2 linked regions of the Astyanax mexicanus genome follow. The protein of the gene in region 2 purifies or fractionates together with the protein of the main gene of each other region. This does not show direct contact. Links are inferred from orthologs where the notes say so. Each region holds a gene or a part of one and is shown on either strand. Other genes may lie near its edges.

The links. Proteins that work in one complex are often made in the same cells at the same time.
Region 1: the proteins of pop4 (region 2) and rpp14 purify together in Homo sapiens (affinity purification with mass spectrometry; 3 studies listed by BioGRID and IntAct, counting the BioPlex papers as one, with this or other methods). This does not show direct contact. The link is inferred for Astyanax mexicanus from reciprocal best matches to the Homo sapiens genes POP4 and RPP14.

The regions. Positions count from the first base shown.
Region 1 is NC_064431.1:12,208,697-12,216,088, reverse strand, and holds the start of rpp14 (ribonuclease P protein subunit p14), read right to left. Parts: upstream 3,080-7,392; 5' UTR 2,976-3,079; exon of another isoform or gene 2,881-2,975; intron 1,204-2,880; 5' UTR 1,192-1,203; coding exon 1,115-1,191; intron 1,017-1,114; coding exon 932-1,016; intron 823-931; coding exon 746-822; intron 1-745. Other genes in the region: rbck1 (ranBP-type and C3HC4-type zinc finger-containing protein 1), read left to right, coding at 5,245-5,281. UniProt on the Homo sapiens protein: Component of ribonuclease P, a ribonucleoprotein complex that generates mature tRNA molecules by cleaving their 5'-ends.
Region 2 is NC_064430.1:24,491,480-24,499,267, forward strand, and holds the start of pop4 (ribonuclease P protein subunit p29), read left to right. Parts: upstream 1-4,726; 5' UTR 4,727-4,813; coding exon 4,814-4,820; intron 4,821-5,133; coding exon 5,134-5,186; intron 5,187-5,764; coding exon 5,765-5,988; intron 5,989-7,202; coding exon 7,203-7,280; intron 7,281-7,381; coding exon 7,382-7,443; intron 7,444-7,562; coding exon 7,563-7,664; intron 7,665-7,788. Other genes in the region: shcbp1 (SHC SH2 domain-binding protein 1), read right to left, coding at 817-1,025, 1,878-1,993, 2,255-2,470, 3,634-3,790. UniProt on the Homo sapiens protein: Component of ribonuclease P, a ribonucleoprotein complex that generates mature tRNA molecules by cleaving their 5'-ends.

The sequences.
Region 1 (7,392 bases), on a different chromosome or scaffold from region 2:
GTAATTCACAAATTCATTGCCTTAACTGTGTTAGGGGTTTTAAGAGAGAGAGAGACAGAGATACATCTCTAGGACCAGGGTTGCACTAGAAAACAACCAAAAAATGTGGTCCATTTAACTTTGGGATCGGGACCCAGATTCAGAGCTTAATCCTACACTTAATAGGCTTTTCAATGCCTAATCACCACTGATACTACAGTCAAAACCTAGGATTAATCTGTTTATTGGAAACTGACTCAAAGTCATAACAGTCTGTTCAGGTTTGAGAACATGCATTATTTCTACTATATATGGTAAAAAAATTGATGGTACACTTACACTAGCCTTTATGACACATTGCCTTAAACCCATAACCATCCATGTGTCAGTATGAGTCGGTAACTCTTTACAGCTCTAATAGTGAATCTCTGTGTGAACACTGTTCTGCACTATGCTCCCCAGCACTCAGACACCTTTATAATTTTAAGCGTTTTGACTAGTGGTGTCAATTTATTAAAAATTTAACATGATTAATCACAACACTATTCTGTAATTAACTGTGATTAATCACACTTGTTTTCTTAAAATGCAAGTTTTTGTAATGCAATTATATTTATTTTAGTGGTGTCAATTAAATTACTAGAATATACTTTTATGTTTGAGGGGAGATAAAGTCAACGTGGTGCGCTGTAATAAAGAACGAATGACAAATTGGTAAATAAGTGTTTATTAAAAGCAAAACTAAGCTTTTGCATGGATTAAATACCTGTGGTACACACGAAGAATGGCAGACAGCTCAGTCTGGTTGAACGTCAGCACGTCAAAAGGGAACGCAGCTCCAACCTGTAACACATTACAACATATTTCTACACAACCACAATCTACACAACTCCGACACTAACTTAATTATAATGTGGAGGTCTCATAACATAGGTCAGTATTTTATCCCTACCTCCCCATACAGGTCTTTCAGTCCAGTGATGATCAACTGCTTGAACTGTTCTGCACTCAGACTTTTGTTTCTACTGTCAAAAACTCTGTTTATGCATACAAAAAAAATAGGGCTGTCTATTATTCATAGTATATATATATATATTTTTTTTTTCTTTTTTTTTTTAGAAAGGAGTTTACTTACAAGTTGATCTTCATATAATGATACAGAGAGGTGTTTTTGCACACAACACGCTCATAAGGTGTAGGTTTCTTCTCCATAATATCTGAATGCTGTTAGAACAGGAAACAAACATTGAGAGCGAAAAATAATTTTGTGTTAAAACTGAATTCTGAATGGTAAAATATGACGATATGGTAAAAAATGGTTGAAAAAAACAAAACAAAAAAAATATATTTCCTAATACGGAAAGACATTTGTTCACAATACACAATATTCTGAATTTATTTAAATCTGCTGTACTCTAAGTCAATTAAATACAGGACTAATTACTCTCTTTGTAATTTAACAGTTGCAGTTGTTCTGAATTTAAGCAATGGCAGTAGTCAAAACTTATTGTCTTATTGCACACCTATACTACGTATAAATTGTGTATTTGCTTAATCAATAATAAAAATGAAAAATGGCATAAAGACATTTAAGATTATTTTTTTTTTTTGTCCCACAACATGTTAACTCAACACCAGGGTTGTACAATATTAAAAAATAAAATGAAGAATGACACCCAAATTCAAATTAAATTATTCAATTGGAATTGAGATTGCAAACAGGAACCAGCTACTTCAAATTCGAACTGCAGGATGTAGAATTAGAATTACACGAAATTCAAATTAATGTATAATGCAAAATTAAGGTGTATATTAATTTCACACAGATATTATGGTATGAGCACAAAACAATAAAAACCCTCTATAACACAAATTATTAAAACTGTACCAACTTTCAAACTGTGGAAAATGATAGGACAGCACTTAATTTCCCAGAATATTGTTTTTTTCCTTTTTTTAACCATTGTCTTTAACCATTGTCCAAACATTAAGGCTATTTGAGGAACTGTTGACCATAAGATGCAATAGCATTACCCTTTAAATTACTTTAATAAATTGTAACATTGTTGTATGTGACTAATTTAGCAATATCTTAATTTTGAAAGTATTCAACATTAAGAGAATGTATGCTTTCTACAGGCTTACAATGCTAGTTATAAGGGCTTAGTGCTGCCCATGTAAAGAAATAGTTAATTTTACACTCTTAAGAAGCTCAAAGTAGCTCCACACTTCACTGGTAGAATTCTGAGAGCACGGATATTTAAAATGAGGCACTGAGAAATGGATGGGTGGGTAGGTAGATTCATTCATTCATTCATTCATTCATTTAATCATTCACTGAATTAAATTGAATTCTGAAATTCTGATTTTTGCACAGCCCTACTCAGCATATACTCAGAATCTTAACGTATTTTCTGTTATGATTTGTACACTTTTATTAAATGCTTACCATATACAATATTACAAATATTTGAACAGAGCATCAATTAGAGAGACTTTAAGTCCACTGACTCAAACACTGCATTATAAAAAGTAAAGGTGGTAAACCCGGGTCCAGAAAGTAAAAGTTTAAAAGTTTAAAAAGTATGAAACCCAGGGATGGATTTTTACTTTCTGGATCCGGGTTAGCCACCTCTAATAATAAACCATATGTAGACGCAATCAAGTGCATCTAATAACGGACAGGGCCAGTTCTCCAAATTAAACCAACAAACCCAACCCCTATCTATCATCAGTATATACATTCGATAGGTTATTATGACTTGAAACAGATAGCTAGAGTAATTGAGTTATATCTGGCTAGCTAGATAACTAACAGCTAACTATATAACAGGTGTAGGTTAAGTAAGAACATATCTAAGTTAGTTAGCTAGGCTAATGTTGCTATCCAGTAAAACTTACATCCTTTGGAAACTCCACTGAAGAGACTCATTCAAAACTAACCGTAGTGCACTTTTAAATGTACGAATATTACAATACTAAATACAGCTATTTACCGACTAAAGACAGTCTCACGCAGCACGTCCTTATCGCCATGTGACTCCTGTAGCTTCTAATGTTTTCAAGAGCGGATTTCTTCTTCGTGGTTGATTTTTGGCAGCTTGCAATCTTAGTGCATTACCGCCATCTACTGGTCTGATGTTTGATTACATTGGGATTACAAAAATATATACAGTATGCTCTGTACCACCTTGACCTAATAAGTTTTTTCAATTGAGTTCTTTGTTACCGTCTCAAGACGTTCTCTCCGTTAGAGTACTGCCTACATGTAAGCAGTACGTAAATTACGGTTTCAGTTTCATTACAGTATGAACATATTCCGGTGTCATGTTTTCCTTTAATGTGTAAACCACTATTTAGTGCTGTAAGCCCTATTCTTAGGCTGGTTGATCAGGTTTCCTCCTGTCGTGAGTGAATGGATTTTCCTTTTACCTCTTGTTGTATACTATATAAATTCCTGCTGTTCTCCTCCGTATCCCATTTGTTTTGCCAGATTTTATGAACACCGTCTTTTATTACTTTTTTTAATTCTGATTTGCTCAGTAAAACCTTTAACTTCTACTTGCTCTGATTTCAGTGCTTCTTTTGCAAACTCATCTGCTTCCTCATTCCCCTAAATACCCGTGGGTGCTGGAACCCAGGTGAACTGTACAATTTTGTTTTTGTTGACTTATTCTATAAATCATCTGGTGCATTAGTATTTTTTCCCACTGTTTTTATGTACGACGCTGATTAGTTAACTAGCTGACCCGGGCTAGGCTAGCTGTGCTAAGTTATCTTAGCCTGGACTCTGAGGCCTGAAGGCTGGGATCAGCGGGAGCCTCCACATCTCGACTTCACTTCCTCCTCAACTCTTCTTTCTTTCACTTTTCGTTCAGCGCTGCTGTAAACTACGCCAAAAACACCCGCTTCCACCGGTTTCACACACTTTAATGGTCGAACTGAAAGTCAGAGGGGTTCCTCCGAAGGTACGTGCTTTGTTCTGGTGGTTTATTTGCTGATATTCTGCTGTAAATGCTGTTTTTTTTTACAGGGTATTAACTAGATGAGCAGTGCTGAGCTTTCAGGGTCAGTCCGAGGAAGACACAGCAGATTAAACCAGCTAAACCACATCAAAATCAAAGAGTTGTTTTGGCCCAGAAATGACTCAAACAGAAGTAGAAAGCTAGCTATATGTTCAAACAACTGCTAAAGTACTGCAGACGTTACTCTAGTAAAAGGAAAAGACCTCTCTATGCCTACATTAAAGTAAAAGTACACACATGTTATTTTCCTTAAAATGTGCTTACAAAAGCACTAAACACCATGATTTATTATGGCTCCAATATCTTATAAATTCTTTTTTTAGAACTGAACCCTCAATCTGATTAATCAACTCATTTTAGATAGAAAGACTCCAGCCATACACTTGTTTCACAATTTTTAATCTTTTCATAGGATTTTATTTATTAGTCTAATTGCAGTGATTGCTGTTAAAATTATCATAAAATATCACAAAAGCACTATTAGTAAAAGTACCCGGATTTAATGGCTTTAATGTGCTTTTATCGCTTTTGGATCAGAATCAGGTCATTTTATATTAAAAGACTCCAGTAATACCCTTGGTTGACATTATTAATCTTTTTAGAAAGACTCATTAATTAGACTTATTTTATTGTGATGTACTTTTAAAGTGACCATAAAATATCACAAAACATTGGATGCAAGTAAAACTTTTTTTTTTCTCCATAATGTATTGGAGTAAAAATCTAAATATTTGAGTTTGAAATGTTGTGAGTTAAAGTAAAAAGTAAAAATTGCAGATATGAAAAACAGTAAAGTATATATATTTTACTCTGCTACTGTCTACCACTGCAAATTACAATACATTACAATAAAAATAAAATATTACTTTAGATTTTTTTTTATCTCTAAAGCAGTCCAGGTGCTAAAACAATACAACACAATAAAATCAAACATATTAAAAAAGGAAGTATATGTACAGCCAAAGTGGAACTAAGTAAAATACTGGAGTTCTTTCCTCACAGGCATAGCCCATTGACTGTGTGCCCCATTTTTTTTTTTTTTACCTTTTCACACATGAAATATTTATATGTTCATGATATTTTGAAAGTCCAGAATAATGTGAAAAAAGAAATTGTTAAAAAAGCCTGATATATCATTTGAAGTTAAATAAGAAGTTGGAATATTACTTTAAAACATATAACTAATAAATAAAACATCTTTTTTTAACTTAAACTTTTTTTTTTGCATCCAGGTCAAGATATGGCGATGCCCTATGACCAGAGAAACATGAAAAAAGGTACAGGGGAGGAATTCACAGTATCAGGAAATATAAGCTTGTCCTTAGTTTGGTAATACTGTACGTCAGTTAGGTTAAGATGTACTGAAAATACAGACTTGAATTAAAGAAAGCAGAAACCAATGTATTGAATGCCAATGTCATATGATGAGGAGACCAATAGAAATGCTCCAAAATTACTTGTAATATTTTTTAGATAACATATCGTTGATCTAGGCCTGTCACGATAACAACATTTTTAGGGCAATGTATTGTCTCAGAAATGATTGCGATAAACGATAATATTGTCCTTTTAAAGCGCCACTATAGAAAATGCTTTTTCCTGCTTTGGGCTCCTAAAGGTGCTTTAAGACAATGTGCCACAGTAATTATATACTAGCATAATAATACTATTACACTATTTTACAGTGAAACGAACTTTTCATTATTCAGAACAGACATTGGGCTTCCATTATAAAAATATTCAGGGTTTGTATGGGTGCTTGAATTTTAACGTTCTGTTTTCCAGGCCTGGAAAGTGCTGGAACTTTTGAGCAAGTGCTTACAATGCTAGAAATTGTAACTGCATTTACTTTATAAAAAAATAACTATCTGACTAAATAAGTTCGCTTAAAAAAATATAGAGCGTAAAATAAAAAAGGCTTTGCTCACGCAAATTCCGGTTCTTTCTCGTAATCCAAGAGGAGTTTGCTCACGAAGAGCCGGCTCTTTTTGCCCCCAGATGCAACATAGTTTTGCCACTTTTTTAAAAACATAGACAGCAGGAGAGTTAGCTAGCTATGCTAAAAGCTAAGCTTTGGATTTATCTAAATAATAATAGTATTGAGGGGCCCCCCTGTCACGAAGGGATAAAGGGCCCTCACACAACAGCGCAAATCGTACCGGGCCAAACCGAGAAACCGGTGAAAGTAATGTTGAGGTCTTATTGACTGTGGCAATTCAAGCATTTTCATCATTATCTGATGAAGACTTTAGGAGTAGTTTAAATGAGTTCTTGAAAAATGTTTAAACAAATTTCCTGTTGGGCGGATCTAATACAAACAAATTTGTGCAGGGTCTTAGTGTCTACATTTCTACCAAAAATTGGGAAGATTAGAACATTTTTTACACAACCACAGCTGATTTCTTTACCAATCAAATTAGGGGGCGCTGTAGAGTCCGCTAGCTACACAAGCTCGTTTCAGGCACTGAAGCCACAATACAAGCCCCGGAGATCAGCTCGTTCCAGGTACTGAAGCCTCTTTTCCACAAGCCCCGGAGATCGACTTGGTTCAGGCACTGAAGCCGCGATACAAGCCCTGGAGATCGGCTCATTTCAGGCCCTGAATCCGGGCTAACAGCCCCATAGATTGGAGGACGCTGATGCTGTGTTAACAGTGCCAGGATCGGCTTAGCCTAATAATATATATTGTATGTGTAACTCGGATTATTAGTATTATTATTTAGATAAATACAAAGTTTGGGTTTCAGCATAGCTCTCTTAACTCTCCTGCTGTGTTTGTTTCTGAAGGCTGCCGGTAGTAGGCAGACAGTAACAAAGCCTGGAGATATCAGCCAATAGCATTCGCTGAGGGAGGTGATCCTGACTCCGCCCCCAAAACCACCTCTTTCTACACTCGAGGCAAAATCTCCACTCGAGCAAAACAGCATCAAACAAAAAGCTTTATGTTCAGTTTTTACATTTTAAGTAAAAAAATGATTGAAAGTTATTTGTCCAGTGACCTTTTGTGTCACAGTTCCATTATTGATAGAATCAAGTTGGATAGCAAGCAAAGTCTACAGATAGGTGATACCTTTTGAATTATAAAACTTTTGCTTGAATTTCTTTTCCCTTTTGCCATTACCAAACACAAGTCTGAAGTGTGACAAAAAGCAAATCAATAATTTTGAGTATATGTATGTATAAATGCTCTCAACTCAACCCCAAATTTGACATACTACAGTTACTGCTCAATCAAATGAACAGGGTAAACATGTGGTGAAGAACATTAGTATTTAAATTGTGTGAAACTGACACCTGCTATTTACTTAGTTAGAAGTTTTTTTTCTCAGTAGCATAGTCGCTGTGAAGTGTGGAGAATAGTTTTGCGACATATTTATTATCACTGAAC
Region 2 (7,788 bases):
CGGGGCGTTCAGACTGAGAGTGTGTTCAAACTGATCTCAGAACCAGTCGGATCAGCACAACAACAGCAGCAGCTACTGCAGAACTGTAAACACCCTGCTACTGAAACCCCACCCACTGACCCCACAGCGACCCCGAAACTCGTTAATGTACAATAATGATAATATATATATATTTATTATTTTTTTCTTTTGGAAATAATGTTTTAAAATATAGTCATCATAGCAGCATAATCACAACTGACATTTCCAAATCTGATTATTTCTTCCACAAATATGCAATATTTTTCAAATCATACATTTATGATTGCAACAGCACTACTGAAGTAATTTCATGCTTAGAACAGCACTATTGAGGTAAATGCATGATTAGAATACCATTCTAAGGTAAATTCATGATTAGGACAGCACTACTCAGGTAAATTCAGGATTAGAACAGCACTACTGAGGTAAATTTAGGATTATAATAACACAGTTGAGGAAAAAGTGTTTTGTTGGTATTTATGCCAGGATGTAAAAAAAATAAAAAATAAAAAATAAAAAAAAAAGAAAATAAAAACGTTGGTCAAACATTCAAGAATTTTGATTATTAAAACCTTTTCTAGTTCAATTTAAGCTTCTACCATTCCATTCTTTTTTAGTATAAACTCTAAATATGTTACCACTGGTACAGATTTATATCTTCATCCACTGATTTTAATGTGATTTCTATATGAATTGAAATGGTTACTCCTTATTGCATAACTCCAACCATCTCCATGTGCCTTCCATGTAGAGTGTGTGGTTATGTGTGTGAGTAACTGAGTAAGAGAGCTGAACCTGAGATGTTCCAGAGCGAGAGCTGTCTGGTCGAATTCTCCGGATTCATCATAAACCACATGGAGCTCCTGCAGCGGGACTTTATTCTGCTTGGCCTCCAGTAACGTCTTCACCGAGTCCTCAGTGAGGTCACAACCTCGATACTCGCACTGCAGGGGCTCCACTAGCTCCACCTTCCCCTTCAGCTCCTTATAGTCAACATCCACCACCTGCAGAACACATGAAGACATGCATGAGTGAGTCTGGTGTGAAAGAACTTGACTGGTCTGCACAGTCGAGTCCTGACTTCAACCTGATGGAACACCTCTGGGATGGATTAGAATAGAGACTGATAACCAGAGCTTCCCATCCAACATCAATGTCTGACTTCACGAATGTATTTGTGGAAGAATGAGAAAAAATTCCATAAACACACTCCTAAACCTGTGTAAAGCCTTTCCAGATGAGCTGAAGCTCTTATAGCTGTAAAGGTTGGGCTGAGATCATATTAAACCCTATGGATTAAGAAAAGGATGTCACTCAAGTTCATATAGCTTTAGAAAAAAATAAAAAGACCACTTCAGTTTCTAAATAGGTTTCTCTGATTTTGCTATTTATGTTTAAGTAAAATTAACATTGTTGTTTTATTCTATAAACTACAGACAACATTTCTCCTAAATTCCAAATAAAAATATTGTCATTTAGAGCATTTATTTGGAGAAAATAAGAAATGGCAAAAATAACAAACAAATTGCAGAGCTTTCAGACTTCAAATAATGCAAAGAAAACAATATTCATATACAATGTTCACATTCATAAAGTTTTAAATGTTTAGAAATCAATATTTGGTGGAATAACTCATGTTCTCCTCCACCAGTCTTACACTCTGCTTTTGGATAACTTTATGCTGCTTTACTCCTGGTGCAAAAATTCAAGCAGTTCAGTTTGGTGGTTTGATGGCTTGTGATCATCCATCTTCCTCTTGATTATATTCCAGAGGTTTTCAATTTGGTAAAATCAAAGAAACTAGTCATTTTGTGTAGGTGTGAAAAGGCAGACGAGCAAATACTCTTTGCACTCACTTCAACTAGAACATCAACCATGTCAGTGTGCCACAGCGCCTGCCAATCACATGGCTCCACCACCTTCTCCAGGTAATCCGCAGTGAACTCCTGCACCTCTGAAGGTTTACAGTCGCCTGCAGCAGACAGACAGAGACAGAGATGGGTGAGGAGAGGTTTCAGAGGTCTAATGGAGGTCAAACATTTATATTTTAGATATTTTATATACTTTATATATTATACCTCAGGGAATTTTAATATAATATTTTAAAAAGTATTATATATACTGTATTTATCCATTTGCTGATCTATTCAGTATAGAGATCAGCAGATGTGATTATGAACATAATAAACAGTGACACATCTACAGATGATGAGGTTAATATGCAGCGAGTTACCGAGCATGTAATCCTGATAGGCTTTGAATCTCTCGTAGAAAAGCAGATGGTTGGTTTGGAAGATGTGAGGCAGCCCCGCGCTCCCGAACGCCTCGGCCCGCTGTAAATGTGTGCACAGCTTTTCATCGTTAGACAGCCCATCTGTGCCGCTGTCATCTTCTTCATCGTCATCCTCGTCATCCTCCTCTTCATCGTGCTCGTCATCCTGAAACATCGCTACAGAGGAAAGAGTTCCCATCACTTACAGCGATATATCATCACTATACCTGCGTTTTACCCATAGAAATGTTCACTTTCTGAATGAAATTCTGCAGAATTTTTACTGTTATCCCGCTCTGTGCTTATGGAGACATTATTAAGGATGGATCAATTTGTCAACATAACTGGCCACATAAACAGTCATTTGTAACTGCACTTTGCTACACACAGTACCACAGTTAATGGTTTTATAGTTATGTTTTATTTTTAAGTTTTCATGGTCATAGTTATGTTCATGGCTCATACATGTTTTAACCAATACATTTTCATGATTTTTCAAGGGACATTTTCATGACCATATGATTTTTAAAACATCAGTGCAGACACAAAAACAAAATTGAAGATAGTAGGCCTAAAATGAATCTGATAAAAATGTTGACACTCAATCTTTAATAATAAAATGCGTGTCAGATCCTGAGAGCTCTACTCTATAAGGCTAAATTACTGAATTAACTCTGAGCTGATGTATTTGTAGCTCAAAATAGCTTTTCTCCTTCAATAAACTGAAACATAAAGGATTTGTGGACAAGGTTTTCAGGACTTTTCCAAAACGTTCTAGGTCTTTTTTATTTTTCCAAAACTAATCAATCCTTGGAAATTGCTATTTTTGAATTTCATGACTTTCCCAGGTTTATCATGACCGTATAAAGTGATTTAGTTAGCTAGATAGATAGTTAACTAAGTTAGTTAGTTAGTTAACTAGTGATTTAGTTAGATAGATAGTAACTAGTTAGTTAGTTAACTTGTCAGTTAACTAGTTACCTAGGTAACGTTAGTTAGTCAACTAGTTAGGTAGCTAGTTAGTTTGCTTGTTATTTAAATACTTATTTAGGTAACTTTAGTTAGTTAGTTTGCTAGGTTAGTTAGTTAGTTAGTTCATTAATTAAATAATAACTACTTATTTAGTTAGCTAGGTTAGTTAGTTAGTTAGTTAATTAATCAATCACTTAACGTTACTTATAAGTAAGCTAGCTAACGTTAGTTTGTTAACCTCGTTAGCTGGTAAGTTAGTGCTAGCTAAGTTGTTGTGTTAAACCGCTGGCTGTATCTCTAAGCTGTCTCACTGACACTTCGCTGTACTGCATTAGTTTCTTAGTAAATCAGTAAGTCGGTTCTGGTACCTCTGGGTAAGAGTCTGGGCGCCGGTTTTGGTTCAGGTTCTGGCTCTGGCTCTGGTTCTGGCTCTGGGTCGGTCTGGTCCGGTTGTTGCTGTTGATCATCCACCGGCCGCTGCTCTCCACCCTCAGATACACACACTCCACCGCCCTCAGCCTTCATCTCAAAAACACTCAACTACAATCTAAATACTACAAATAATCAACTAAATATATAAACACGCATATAAACCCGTAACTGTGTAAAAAGTGTGAATTTAAATTAAATAAAAATAACTAAATAACTGAACTCTCCTCACTGCTCGCTTCAAATCAGCTGCATTCAAATCCACCCTGCAAACGCGCGGACAAATAGAAAGTGGCGTCCGGTGACAGCGGACCAATAGAGAGCGGTTTCGCCCAAGAGGGGGCGGGGCTTTTGTAAAAGACGTGGATTTTATAGAAATAAAAAAAATAAAATTAGAAAATTATAAATAAAATTATTAATAAAAGATTGTTTTTGTCTATGTGTATTACCTTGCGATTTTTTTTATTTTTATTTGCTTTAAATATAGTGTAGTTTTGACATTTTTTGTCCAATTTTGCACCATAATTTGATGCAAACAACTTTTTACTAAATGATCTAGATCAGAATAAATAAAATATTTTCTTTGTTTATACATACCTATAATGTTACATAAAATACCTGAAACATATGCTTTTTTATTTTTAAAGGGGACAGACTTTAAAACTCAAAAACTGAAAAAAATGTTTTACTATACACACAAGTTTACACTTCAAAATGTATTAAATAAAAAGATGTTAAATCTCTAATTTGAAATAATTTTGTAGCTTTACGGAGTGGTAAGTATTTTTTATTATTATTATAAAAAGGTTTAATGCCGTTTATAACATTATAGGACATCTACACCTCAGAAAGTCTTTTGTAAAAAACATAAATACATTAGTATACAGAGGTCTAAATAAAAAATGATTTTTATTAACTATAAATTTAGACATTTTAGAAATAATTTTGAGTAATTTATAACATTTATAACCAAAATGTATTTTAAAAAAGGACATAAAACACATGTACTGTAGAAATGACTGAATCAGGGAAGCTGCGGTTGATTACTCAGGTCTCACGTACCGGACTTGGCGATCGGTGATCGGCTTTCAGCACTGGGGGAGCCGGTGTGGATCCAGCATGGCGGGTAAGTGTGGATTATTATTGTATTAATAACATTAATAACAGGTTTATTAAAGCGACGCGCGGTTGTTAGTGAGTGTTGTGTGTTGTAAACCGAGTCTTCCTGCTGAACTGAGTCTAAATAACCAATCCAGGGCTGTTGTTTCCCCAGATAACACTAAACGTTCCTCTAGCATTAGATTTAGGTTCTTTAAGGTTCGTTTTTGTTTTATTTTTTGTTAAAGTCACTGAACACTAAACTATATGTTTTTAACATAATAGCTGAAATGTGTTCCTTTGCCGGTCATTGCTGTTTTTTGTTCTTTTCTTGTTCACAGAAGCAGCGTTTTCCAGTATTCCTCCAGAAGATGGTAAACTTCTAGGAGTTCAGGTGAGAGTTCTTTTCAGGTTCTGACTGATTTGCTCTATTTACAGTAAACCAATAAGTCCAAGCTATTTGAACCGCTATTTATAGGTTTATGTTTGAGTAAAATGAACATTGTTGGACAACATTTCTCCCAAATTCCAAATAAAAATATTGTCATTTAGAGCATTTATTTGCAGAAAATGAGAAATGGTTGAAAAAAACAAAAAAAGATGCAGAGCTTTCTAATCTCAAATAATGCAAAGAAAACAAGTTCATATTCATAAAATTTTAAGAGATCAGTAATCAACATTTGGTGGAAAAACCCTGGGTTTAATCACAGTTTTCGTGCATCTATGCATGTTCTCCTCCACCAGTCTTACATACTGATTTTGGATAACTTTATGACACTCCTGGTGCAAAAATCTAATCAGTTCAGCTTGATTTGATTGCTTGTAATCATCCATCTTCCTCTTGATTATATTCCAGAGGTTTTCAATTTGGTAAAATCAAAGAAACTTATCATTTTTAAGTGGTGTCATATTTTTTCCAGAGCTGTATATAATAAAAAAACAATGTTGGCCTGTGTTGTGTTGTGTGTTCAGTCTCAGCCTGGCACGGCTGCGGAGAAGTTCACCAATGCGTTCCTGAAGAGCAGCCTGCCGCAGCTGAAGGGCGAGGAGATCGAGAGCATGATGCTCCGCCAGGCTGTGATCCTGCAGTACGCCAGACCCAACAGAACCCGGGGAAAGAAGACCAAAGCTAAAGGACTCAACGCTAAAGAACGGCGGGAGCTAAAAGTGTTCCAGCTGAAACCCGAGCATCAGAAGTGTGTACCACATCTCATCACAACATCACACCACATTCCTGCATCAGCAGTGCAGATTAATGCAAAAATCAGGACCCCTCACATGAAGTGACTTGGCTCCAGTCAGGGCTCCAGACTAACTTTATTCTCAACCGTCCCAGAACCATCTCAAACTGAAAATTATCTGTCCCATAACAATACAAAAACAAATACAATAGTAATGTGAAAAATTATATATATTTAGATGTTTATTCTATGTATCTATGTTTACATTTCTATTGTATTTGTGTATTTTACTACCATAATGTCATCAGTTGTTTGGACAGTCTGTTTGAGTTATATATATATTTGTGACTCCTTAATGTCAAGTTATTATATTATACAGAGACACAATTATATTTTATTTTCAGTTAGAAACTTTTTTTCAACTAGTGGAATTATACTTAGAATAAAATTAAAAACACAGTTCCTTACAATATGTCTGCTCATCTTAAAAGTGCAGTTTTGCCATTAGCCAGCAATTGACGCTTTTTCCCCTGATTCATTTTGCCCATTTTGAAGCTCCCAAGTTGACTGACATGGCAATACACCCACCACAATTAAGAAATGTATAGAACACAGTTCCTTAGGATATGTCTGCTTATCTTAAAAGTGCAGTTCTGCCATTAGCCAGCAATTTTGCCACTTTTGAAGCTCCCCAGTTGACTGACATGGCGATCCACCAACCACAATTATTTCTTTAGAGGCTTTCCCCGCTAGTGCCACATTGGCCTTCCTCCTCTTGTGGCTTTTCTAGCAAGCTGATTGTTCGTAAAAAAGAATATACTTTAACATGCTAAGCAATAGGAAAAGTCCCAGTCATACTTCAACCAGCAGGCAGTTTTCTCAAAAACGGCTTGAAACGGCTTTGTCGTCAGGACGCTGGGACTGTGTTAGTCTAGAGCCCTGTGAGTGTAAATAAGTCTCTCTGTAAGGAATTTTGACTCAAGAACACATGATGTTTCCAAACGTTTGCACTTTTAGACTGTATTTAACTAGAAATGTAATGGTTGGGATGTTCAAGAAGTCCCCACTGGTTGATTGCTATGTTGTTGCTAGGTAACTGCTGTAGAAAGGCTTGGTTGCTATGGTGTTCCAAGTGGTCGACAGGTGTTGTTGCAAATTGCTTTGCCATGTATAACTATATTAATAGACTAAAGTAAATATTATAACTATTTCCGGTTCTGATTCTGCAGGTATGAGCTGTTCCTGCCGCTACATGTGCTGTGGAAACAGTACATAATCGATCTGTGTAACGGACTCAAACCTGGCAGGTGATAAATATCAATATATATTTATATATGATAGTTTAAATTCTGATACTGTAAGTCTGGCTCTAATTCCTGCAGTGTTTAATCTGTAACATCTACCACAGCAACCCACAGACCATCCAGCAGAAGCTCCTGAAGGCTGATTTCCACGGTGCAGTTTTAACAGGTTAGTGGACGCTCCTCAACTCTACACTCTACAGCTCTCTCAGATTCTGATCAAATATCATCAATATATACGGGAGGATTACCCAACATTTATTTGTGTTTCATTATTTTGTCTTGCAGTGGTCCGATCAAAATGTCCATCTTATGTTGGGACCACTGGAATCCTGGTGCAGGAGCTGAAGCACGTCTTTAAGATCATCACCAAAGAAGACAGACTGAAAAGTAAGACAATACTCCAGTGCTGTGGTCTTCCAGATCCACAATGTCCCAGTCCAAAAAAAATATGTTTCTCTAGTCCTACATTCCCAGTTATTTACAGCCCCCTAGTCACACAGTCCTTAGATCT